2 linked regions of the Saccharomyces cerevisiae S288C genome follow. The protein of the gene in region 1 interacts with the protein of each later gene in a biochemical or structural test. Each region holds a gene or a part of one and is shown on either strand. Other genes may lie near its edges.

What was found.
Region 2: the proteins of RAD30 (region 1) and REV1 form a complex in vitro, tested with the Saccharomyces cerevisiae proteins (3 studies listed by BioGRID).

The regions. Positions count from the first base shown.
Region 1 is NC_001136.10:1,301,331-1,305,618, reverse strand, and holds RAD30 (DNA-directed DNA polymerase eta), read right to left. Parts: upstream 2,446-4,288; coding exon 547-2,445; downstream 1-546. Other genes in the region: 60S ribosomal protein uL11 RPL12B, read right to left, coding at 3,506-4,003. UniProt on the Saccharomyces cerevisiae protein: DNA polymerase specifically involved in DNA repair. Plays an important role in translesion synthesis, where the normal high fidelity DNA polymerases cannot proceed and DNA synthesis stalls. Plays an important role in the repair of UV-induced pyrimidine dimers.
Region 2 is NC_001147.6:980,285-985,338, forward strand, and holds REV1 (deoxycytidyl transferase), read left to right. Parts: upstream 1-1,543; coding exon 1,544-4,501; downstream 4,502-5,054. Other genes in the region: pyruvate kinase PYK2, read right to left, coding at 4,658-5,054. UniProt on the Saccharomyces cerevisiae protein: Deoxycytidyl transferase involved in DNA repair. Transfers a dCMP residue from dCTP to the 3'-end of a DNA primer in a template-dependent reaction.

The DNA.
Region 1 (4,288 bases):
TGTAATCTGGTCTTCAGAAGAGTAATGATAGTGTATAACTTTTTTATGATGTATAATATTACTTGCATTATTATTCTTCAGATTTGTTTTTAAACAGCGTTACTTTGTAACATGAGATTGTGTGTATCAAACCAATTCCTGCTTTAAACGCATCTAATTGATTAAGTCCCCTGAACAATCAGCTGAGGTCAGAGATCATGCTTCCAGCATTCATTATCACATGGATCTTATATATTATGAAGGTATGTAATATTCTGTGAGTCATGTCTACAAAAATAAATTATAACAAGTTGTTTCTTTTTTATAGACTTCCAAATCTCTATCAAGAAATCCTAGTATGAATATTGTACATAATGTTATCACTTTGATCAAAAGCGAAGTCTCAAAAGTCATCAGTCGGTATTTTCCGATCATAAGATATTAAAGGTACTTCGTTCTTCTTATCAACAAAACCTGGCGCCCGTGAATCATTTAGAAATTTTGGAAAAGCAATATTATCAGGACGTTTTAGTTGCTGAAGCCATATAATTGTCTATTTGGAATAGGTCATTTTTTTCTTGTAAAAAATGATAAGATGTTTTTGGAAGATGTAACTTGTTTCTTCTGAGGTGTGGCAGTATGTTGTGAGTTTGGTCTTTTCCGTGAAAACAACAATCTTTTTTCCCCGAAAGAAAGGTTTTTGGATGATTCTTCAGCACCATTTAAGCCTTCCGACAGTTTCAATGCTAAATGATAGTCTGCGTGCTCTTGAAGAGCCTTCTGGTCTGTAAAAGTCACCTGGTATTTACAACATTCCAACTTCGGAGTTTTCTCGTCAGCTTTCGAGCTGGTAGTTTTTTCCTCATCTTCCTTGCCTGCTGAGCTTTTGAAAGTATGGACCTGATTGCCAAACATATCTACAACAGTTTTTTGTAAATCTATAATATCGAAATTAGTAATTGTCATACTTAGTTTTGTTAAAGGGTAATAACTTTTGTTCTTTCCTTTAATATCAAGGTCCGTGACAAATTTTATGCCTACTTTTAGGAGTTCGTGACTCTGGAAATTGATGCCCTTGTACGCAACTGGACCTGATTTTCGATATACTTCGTAGGATTTTGTTTTTAAAGATATAGATACTGTTCTTGGTATTACGATCTTGTTATACTCCTGTTCCAGATCCTGAATCCTGGACGTAAGCTCAGCGCAGAAGACCTCAAGCCAAGAAATACAGTCCACGATGGAATTGCACGATTTTCCTCTAAGATTTTTGTTTGACATCATACTTTTTACAACAGGGCGAGAACTTAAGGGCAGACCGTACCGGCCTCTACTTAATTTAAACAACTTTTCTGCTAAATCTGCTGTTTTCAAAGGGTCGATATTGCTGGTTGAGCGATCATAATCAGATTGCTTAACTTTAGCATCTAAAAATTCCTTAAGCTGGCCAGCATTATCAGGCCACGTCTCTCTGATGTGTTTAATACTGTTTTCGTGGGGAAGATCCAATACGTCAATTAGTTCTTTGCCAAGAACGCCGCCTAAGGTCCAGAATGATGTAATTTCAAACTTTCCGCAATCTAAAAAATCTAATAAACAATCATTTTTCACAATTGTTTGGGCATCAGGTTTTTTGTAATTAGAAGCCAACTTGCAAACATTTTTGGTGCTAGACAAACCACACGAAGTAGTATAACCGAGAATATCTTTTATGCTATCTCTGATACCCTTGCATACCTGAGATCCTAGTGCAAGTATTACATCGTCCCAATCTGTGATCAGATCTCTGCCCTCTGGATTGAAAACATCGCCTTCAAACTTCAGAGACTTTATCTTTTCGGGTATAAGAGGTAGATGGGAATTTATATCATAGTTGCCCCCTATAAAAGCCTCACGAATATTGCTTAATGCATCTTTCAGTTTCAAGTCGCCTGTAAGCTCGTACTCATTATCAAACATTAGCATATTGAAACAAATCCGGCCCAAATCAAGAAATACTTCATCAATACTCGCCCTTTCGACTAGATCACATGCGCTTTTGAAAATCTTCAGCGCCTTGCGACTTTCCCTCCTATATGGTTCCAGTGATACTTTATGATCTTCCACACTTATCTGCTTTGCAGGATCCTGCACCCAAGATCCACATCCATCATGATATTGCCAAAAATCTTCTCCCTTTTTAAAAACGGCTGTATGGATCGGTATGAGGTTACTACATTTTTTTAGTGCTTCCTGAATCGTATCCATCCTTGATATACCATACTTTCTTGCTGCATAAGAGACTGCAATAATGGAATTCCACTGAACGCAGACTACCGGATCTTCTTTGCTTAAGCCACATCGCATCTGCTCAACCTGTGCAAAAAAGGCATTCATATCTATGTGGGCGATACATGCTAAGGAGGACTCGTATGCTTTACTGGGGGAACCAAGCTGAATCAACTCCTTCCAAGTAAATTTTGACATGCTTTGTCTTGTTTTATCAAAGCCGTTCAAAAATGAGCAGGCCTGCGCTAGAAGACTACAATAAGTGGTTTATACTTTTTTCGCCGCGATAAGGTATAATTATATAGGTACTTTAGTTAATCCGAAATTATAAGAATTGCCCAAAATTAAACTAATATTGTAAAATGGACTCGAAGTTTAAATTGAACTATTAATTTGAACCTATTTTCTTCTTCTTGAACATACAATAGGTATCCTATGATCGGCAGGATTAGGTAGCGTTTAATTTTATCCTTAGTACATTTTTAGAGTAATATTTTATATGGCAACCATGTTTAGATTGAAAGTTGCAACATCCTATCATGCCATTGATGTATGTAAACCTTTCAATTAGAAAAGAAGGCCATGCACATAATGTTTTTCAGGCAAATATATATTTAGTTAATGAAAATGGAATTAACGAAAGAGAAGTAAAAAAAATGAACATAAACCACATATAAAATAACAACTGATACACACTATCTTAGTTTATTATTTTAAAATATTCTCTACTCTAATACATAAGAATACGTAAAACTCAAAAGTTCCTTTTTGTATTTGCAGAAGGATTTTTAAATTGAATAATTTTAATCCGTCACCATAATAAGATATTTTATCCAGTTGCAGAGCCTGAACGGGGACAATAGCAACACTTCAATGCATTGGCTACATGCAAAGAAGGATAGCCTTTTTAGTTATGAGTGGTATCGTTGAAATAATTCTACAATAATACAAGCAAGTGAAAGATGGGTTTCAGGAAGCTTGGATGTCAAGACAAAAAATTTGCAAAGAGAAGGGTCAAATACTAGAAACCTGCCTGATATTTACGTCGATGAACAATTTGGCCCATTTCATAGATGGAAATATCTATTTCAACATGTAGACGGTTGATTGAACACAGCCGGACTACAATTTGCTGCAACAGTAAAAAAAAAGAATATAACGTGAAGTAAAATATTTTGGTTTATATGTTAGATTAAAGCCTTTTAAATTAAAAGTACAGAATAATATATGGAATGGATTTTTGATGTTATAAACAACCTTAGTTTTCTGGAATTTCAATTTCACCAGCGTTAATACCTTCAATGATGTCATGAGGGTTCTTGAAATCAACACGACAACCGACAGATTGAGCAGTACCCAAAATTTCCTTAGTAACGGAAGCCAAAGTTCTACCGAAGGATTTGTCTCTCATTTGTCTGGCAATTTCAATAATTTCATCCAATTGGATGTTACCGCTATGCTTGACGTTCTTATCCTTCTTTCTGTCTCTTGGTGGTTCCTTCAAAGCAGTAATGACCAAAGAGGAAGCAGATGGAACAACAGAAGCAGCAGCTTGTCTGTTTTGGATTTTCAATTGGACAGTAACTTTGATACCTTTGAATTCCTTGGTGGCCTTGGCGATATCTTCACCAACCTTCTTTGGGGATAAACCCAATGGACCGATCTTTGGAGCCAAGGCGGCGGAAGCACCGACTTCACCACCGACAGCTCTCAAGTACAAGTACTTAACTTCATTTGGATCAAACTTTGGAGGCATATTGACTATTGATTTATCCTTCTATTGGGCACTTGGGGTTGCTTTAACGGGAAGTAAGTAAATAATTTAGGTACTGTTTTTATTCCATTTTCATACTAGTAATGTACCGCCAAAGAAGATACAACATTGAGAAAGATTAGCGGAAGCGTCGTCGAGCACCTGTCCTGGTGTGGCGACAAGCATTTTCTCGTAGAAGGAGCATTAACATTTTCTCGGCCTAGAGCCAGGGGGCTTAGGCGGAAACCTTCGGAAAGGGAAAAAAGCGGCTAGAGGGGACTGCCAGGC
Region 2 (5,054 bases), on another chromosome or scaffold:
ATTGTTGGGATTCCATTGTTGATAAAGGCTATAATATTAGGTATACAGAATATACTAGAAGTTCTCCTCGAGGGTCTAGGAATCCCCATAATGGAATCTATATTTCTATATACCAATATTACGATTATTCCTCATTCCGTTTTATATGTTTCATTATCCTATTACATTATCAATCCTTGCACTTCAGCTTCCTCTAACTTCGATGACAGCTTCTCATAACTTGTGTCATCATCTTAACACCGTATATGATAATATATTGATAGTATAACTATTAGTTGATAGACGATAGTGGATTTTTATTCCAACAGTTCTCTTCAACCATTCGTTTTTGGGACTGAGGAAAATGAATATAAAATTATAATACTTCATCTTGAACTTTGAGAAATCACAAATTGTATGGGCGTGTGGTCTAGTGGAATGATTCTCGCTTTGGGCGATCCCCCTGATCAAACAGGAGGAACAAAGCATGCGAGAGGCCCTGGGTTCAATTCCCAGCTCGCCCCTTTTTTTGCAACTTCGTTTTAGACAGTTACTTAATTTTGTTTCTTAGGCACAACAATATTTATAAAAGAAGAATGTAAGTATGACGACGAAAACGAAAAGACTAATAGTTTCATATAATACTAAACGATTTCAATTTTCGTTTTATATCCTTCCTATTCATAAATTTTATTTCGCTATGCCAATAATGAGTGGATGTATAGTTGATATCTGTTTCGATAATTTTAAAGTAGATAGTAAAATCTTACTGACATGAATAATCCGTCCAAAACTAGATTACTGTATACAAGCATATTTAAAAAAATAATGAAACTATGATCAAAAAACTGTGCTACTACAGCGGTGTTGTTATCCGATACAACCGGATATTTTTCTTTTAATGAGTCTAAACCGTGATAGCTTCAGGTTAATACAATCAAAAAAAGCTCAAATATTCTTTTAATGCCGCGTTCACAGATTCCAATTGAATACAACTAGGTAGTTCATTATATGAAGCCTTTGCTACTATTTTTCACTATAGTCTGCCTTCACCTTAATGCAGACATCCACATATTTTAATCACTTTAAAATAAAAAGGAAGATATATTAGAAGCTATGATCCAATCTGTAAGCCAGATTAAAATTCACGAACTCTTCTTTCATTTGAATTGAATGCTTTGAGTTGGGGTAGATTATCGCAAATTACTCATCACATTTATTGACTACGAACTTGCTGATGTCCTTTTTTTATTTATATTTTTCTTCAGTGAAGCGATTTTTTTTTTACACAGACCAAGACGGAAAAAAGTAGCTAAGGAAGAAAACAAAATCATGAAAAAAATGTGAAGTGATCATGCACATCGCATCAACTTAAACATTGGCTTAGAGATATATAGAGTTAGAGTTTACGGCAACCTTTAAGCACCAATACCTTTTGGCATAGTCTAAAGACCTGGTTCTTAATTTTAAACAAATTTAACTAAAGATTTCCCTATCAAAGAAGTAACGAGTTGACAGATTTTCTCAAAATAAATCGATACTGCATTTCTAGGCATATCCAGCGATGGGTGAACATGGTGGTCTTGTAGATTTATTGGACAGCGATTTGGAATACTCTATAAATAGGGAAACACCTGATAAAAACAATTGCCTTAGCCAGCAAAGTGTCAATGATTCACATTTAACAGCAAAGACCGGCGGCTTGAATGCAAGGTCTTTTCTATCTACGTTAAGCGATGATTCCTTAATTGAATATGTCAACCAACTCTCCCAAACTAATAAGAATAATTCTAATCCAACTGCAGGTACTTTAAGATTTACTACTAAAAATATTAGCTGTGATGAATTACATGCTGATCTTGGCGGTGGCGAAGATTCACCTATAGCTCGTAGCGTCATCGAGATCCAGGAAAGTGATAGCAATGGTGATGATGTTAAAAAAAATACTGTGTATACTAGGGAGGCTTATTTCCACGAGAAGGCGCACGGACAAACCCTGCAAGATCAAATATTAAAAGATCAATATAAAGATCAAATTTCTAGTCAAAGCAGTAAAATATTCAAAAATTGCGTCATCTATATAAATGGCTACACCAAACCTGGAAGACTGCAATTACACGAGATGATAGTTTTACATGGCGGAAAATTTTTACACTATTTGTCTTCAAAGAAAACGGTTACTCACATAGTGGCTTCCAATTTACCATTAAAGAAAAGGATTGAATTTGCAAATTACAAAGTAGTCAGTCCGGATTGGATAGTTGATAGCGTCAAAGAAGCAAGATTATTGCCCTGGCAAAATTACTCGTTAACATCTAAACTTGATGAACAGCAAAAAAAACTAGATAATTGTAAAACCGTAAATTCAATTCCATTGCCCTCAGAGACTAGCCTGCACAAAGGATCTAAATGTGTAGGGTCGGCATTGTTGCCAGTAGAACAGCAGTCACCAGTAAATCTCAATAATTTGGAGGCGAAAAGGATAGTCGCTTGTGATGATCCTGATTTCCTTACTTCCTATTTTGCTCATTCGAGATTACATCATCTCTCCGCATGGAAGGCCAATCTGAAAGATAAATTTCTGAATGAAAACATCCACAAGTACACCAAAATTACGGATAAGGATACCTACATTATCTTTCATATCGATTTTGACTGTTTTTTTGCAACTGTTGCGTATCTATGTAGAAGTTCTAGTTTCTCAGCATGTGATTTTAAACGGGATCCTATAGTGGTATGCCATGGTACTAAAAACTCCGATATAGCTAGTTGCAATTATGTAGCAAGGTCATATGGGATTAAAAATGGAATGTGGGTGTCTCAAGCTGAAAAGATGTTGCCAAATGGGATCAAACTAATATCATTACCATATACCTTTGAGCAATTTCAATTAAAATCGGAAGCCTTTTACAGTACTCTCAAAAGATTGAACATATTCAATTTGATTTTACCTATATCTATTGATGAAGCTGTTTGTGTGAGGATAATCCCTGATAATATTCATAACACTAATACCTTAAATGCAAGACTGTGCGAAGAAATACGCCAAGAAATTTTTCAAGGAACGAATGGTTGCACAGTGAGCATTGGATGTTCCGATTCTCTTGTGTTAGCAAGACTAGCTCTCAAAATGGCGAAACCAAATGGTTACAATATCACGTTTAAGAGTAACCTATCTGAAGAATTCTGGTCTAGTTTCAAACTAGATGATCTGCCTGGAGTTGGGCATTCTACTCTGTCAAGGTTAGAATCAACGTTTGATAGCCCACATTCTTTAAATGACTTGAGAAAAAGATATACTTTAGATGCTTTGAAGGCGAGCGTCGGCTCTAAGTTAGGTATGAAGATTCATCTCGCGTTACAAGGCCAAGATGATGAAGAAAGCTTGAAAATACTGTACGATCCCAAAGAAGTCTTACAAAGAAAATCATTATCAATTGATATCAATTGGGGAATCAGATTTAAAAATATCACTCAGGTAGACTTGTTCATAGAAAGAGGTTGTCAGTATCTTTTAGAAAAATTGAATGAAATAAACAAAACAACGTCACAAATCACATTAAAACTGATGAGAAGATGTAAAGACGCTCCAATTGAACCCCCAAAATATATGGGGATGGGAAGGTGCGACTCATTCAGTCGGAGCAGCAGATTAGGTATTCCAACAAACGAATTTGGAATTATTGCTACCGAAATGAAAAGTTTGTATCGAACTTTGGGCTGCCCTCCAATGGAATTAAGAGGTCTTGCTCTACAATTCAACAAATTGGTTGATGTGGGTCCGGATAACAATCAGCTGAAACTGAGGTTACCGTTTAAAACAATAGTGACGAACAGAGCTTTCGAAGCCTTACCGGAAGATGTAAAAAATGACATTAACAACGAGTTCGAGAAAAGAAATTATAAGAGAAAAGAATCCGGGTTGACTTCAAACTCATTGAGCTCTAAAAAAAAAGGATTTGCCATTTCCAGATTAGAAGTAAATGATTTGCCCAGTACTATGGAAGAACAGTTTATGAATGAACTACCAACCCAAATTCGAGCAGAAGTAAGGCACGACTTGAGAATTCAGAAAAAAATCCAACAGACAAAGTTAGGAAACCTACAAGAAAAGATAAAAAGGAGAGAAGAGAGCCTACAGAACGAGAAAAATCATTTCATGGGCCAAAATAGTATATTCCAGCCGATCAAATTCCAAAATCTGACACGGTTCAAAAAAATTTGTCAATTAGTGAAACAATGGGTTGCCGAAACTTTAGGTGATGGAGGGCCGCATGAAAAAGATGTTAAATTATTCGTGAAATATTTGATTAAACTTTGCGATTCTAATAGAGTCCATTTAGTTCTTCATTTATCAAACCTAATATCAAGGGAATTAAATCTCTGCGCCTTTTTAAATCAGGATCATTCAGGCTTCCAAACGTGGGAAAGAATTTTACTCAATGATATAATTCCACTTTTAAACAGAAATAAACATACTTACCAGACTGTGCGTAAACTTGACATGGACTTTGAAGTTTGAATTAAAAAAAAAAAAACATTTCAGCATACAGTAAACACGCAGTTTGCGAACATTACCTGTAATATCTGCATGATTATTACCAAAGAAAAAAAAAATAACTGACACAATGGACAATTAAATAAAATTAAGTAAAAAAAATAAGGACTTTAATTTTTACTAGAATTCTTGACCAACAGTAGAAATGCGTAAGGTATTGGAATGGCCGACTCCTCCTTTGAATCCTTGAATGGAAACAACAGTATCACCGTTGTCCACCATTCCGAAAGACCTCGCCATTTCAACACCAAACTTTAGGCGCCTATGAACATCCTCACCCCAGTCGTCTAGGCGTTTCGGTTCATACAGAAATGGGAAAACACCTCTATACAAATGCGCAATTCTTGCCGTTCTTGCGTGTCTTGTTACTAATATGATAGGGCAGCTTGGTCTATACTTCGACAGTAGCCTTGCCGTGTTCCCTGTAGTAGATAATACAACGATGGCCTTACCATCTTGCTCCAAGATTGCTGCGGTAGCTGCAGCTGCTACAGTTTCCGTAGTGGAAGTAGGTTTG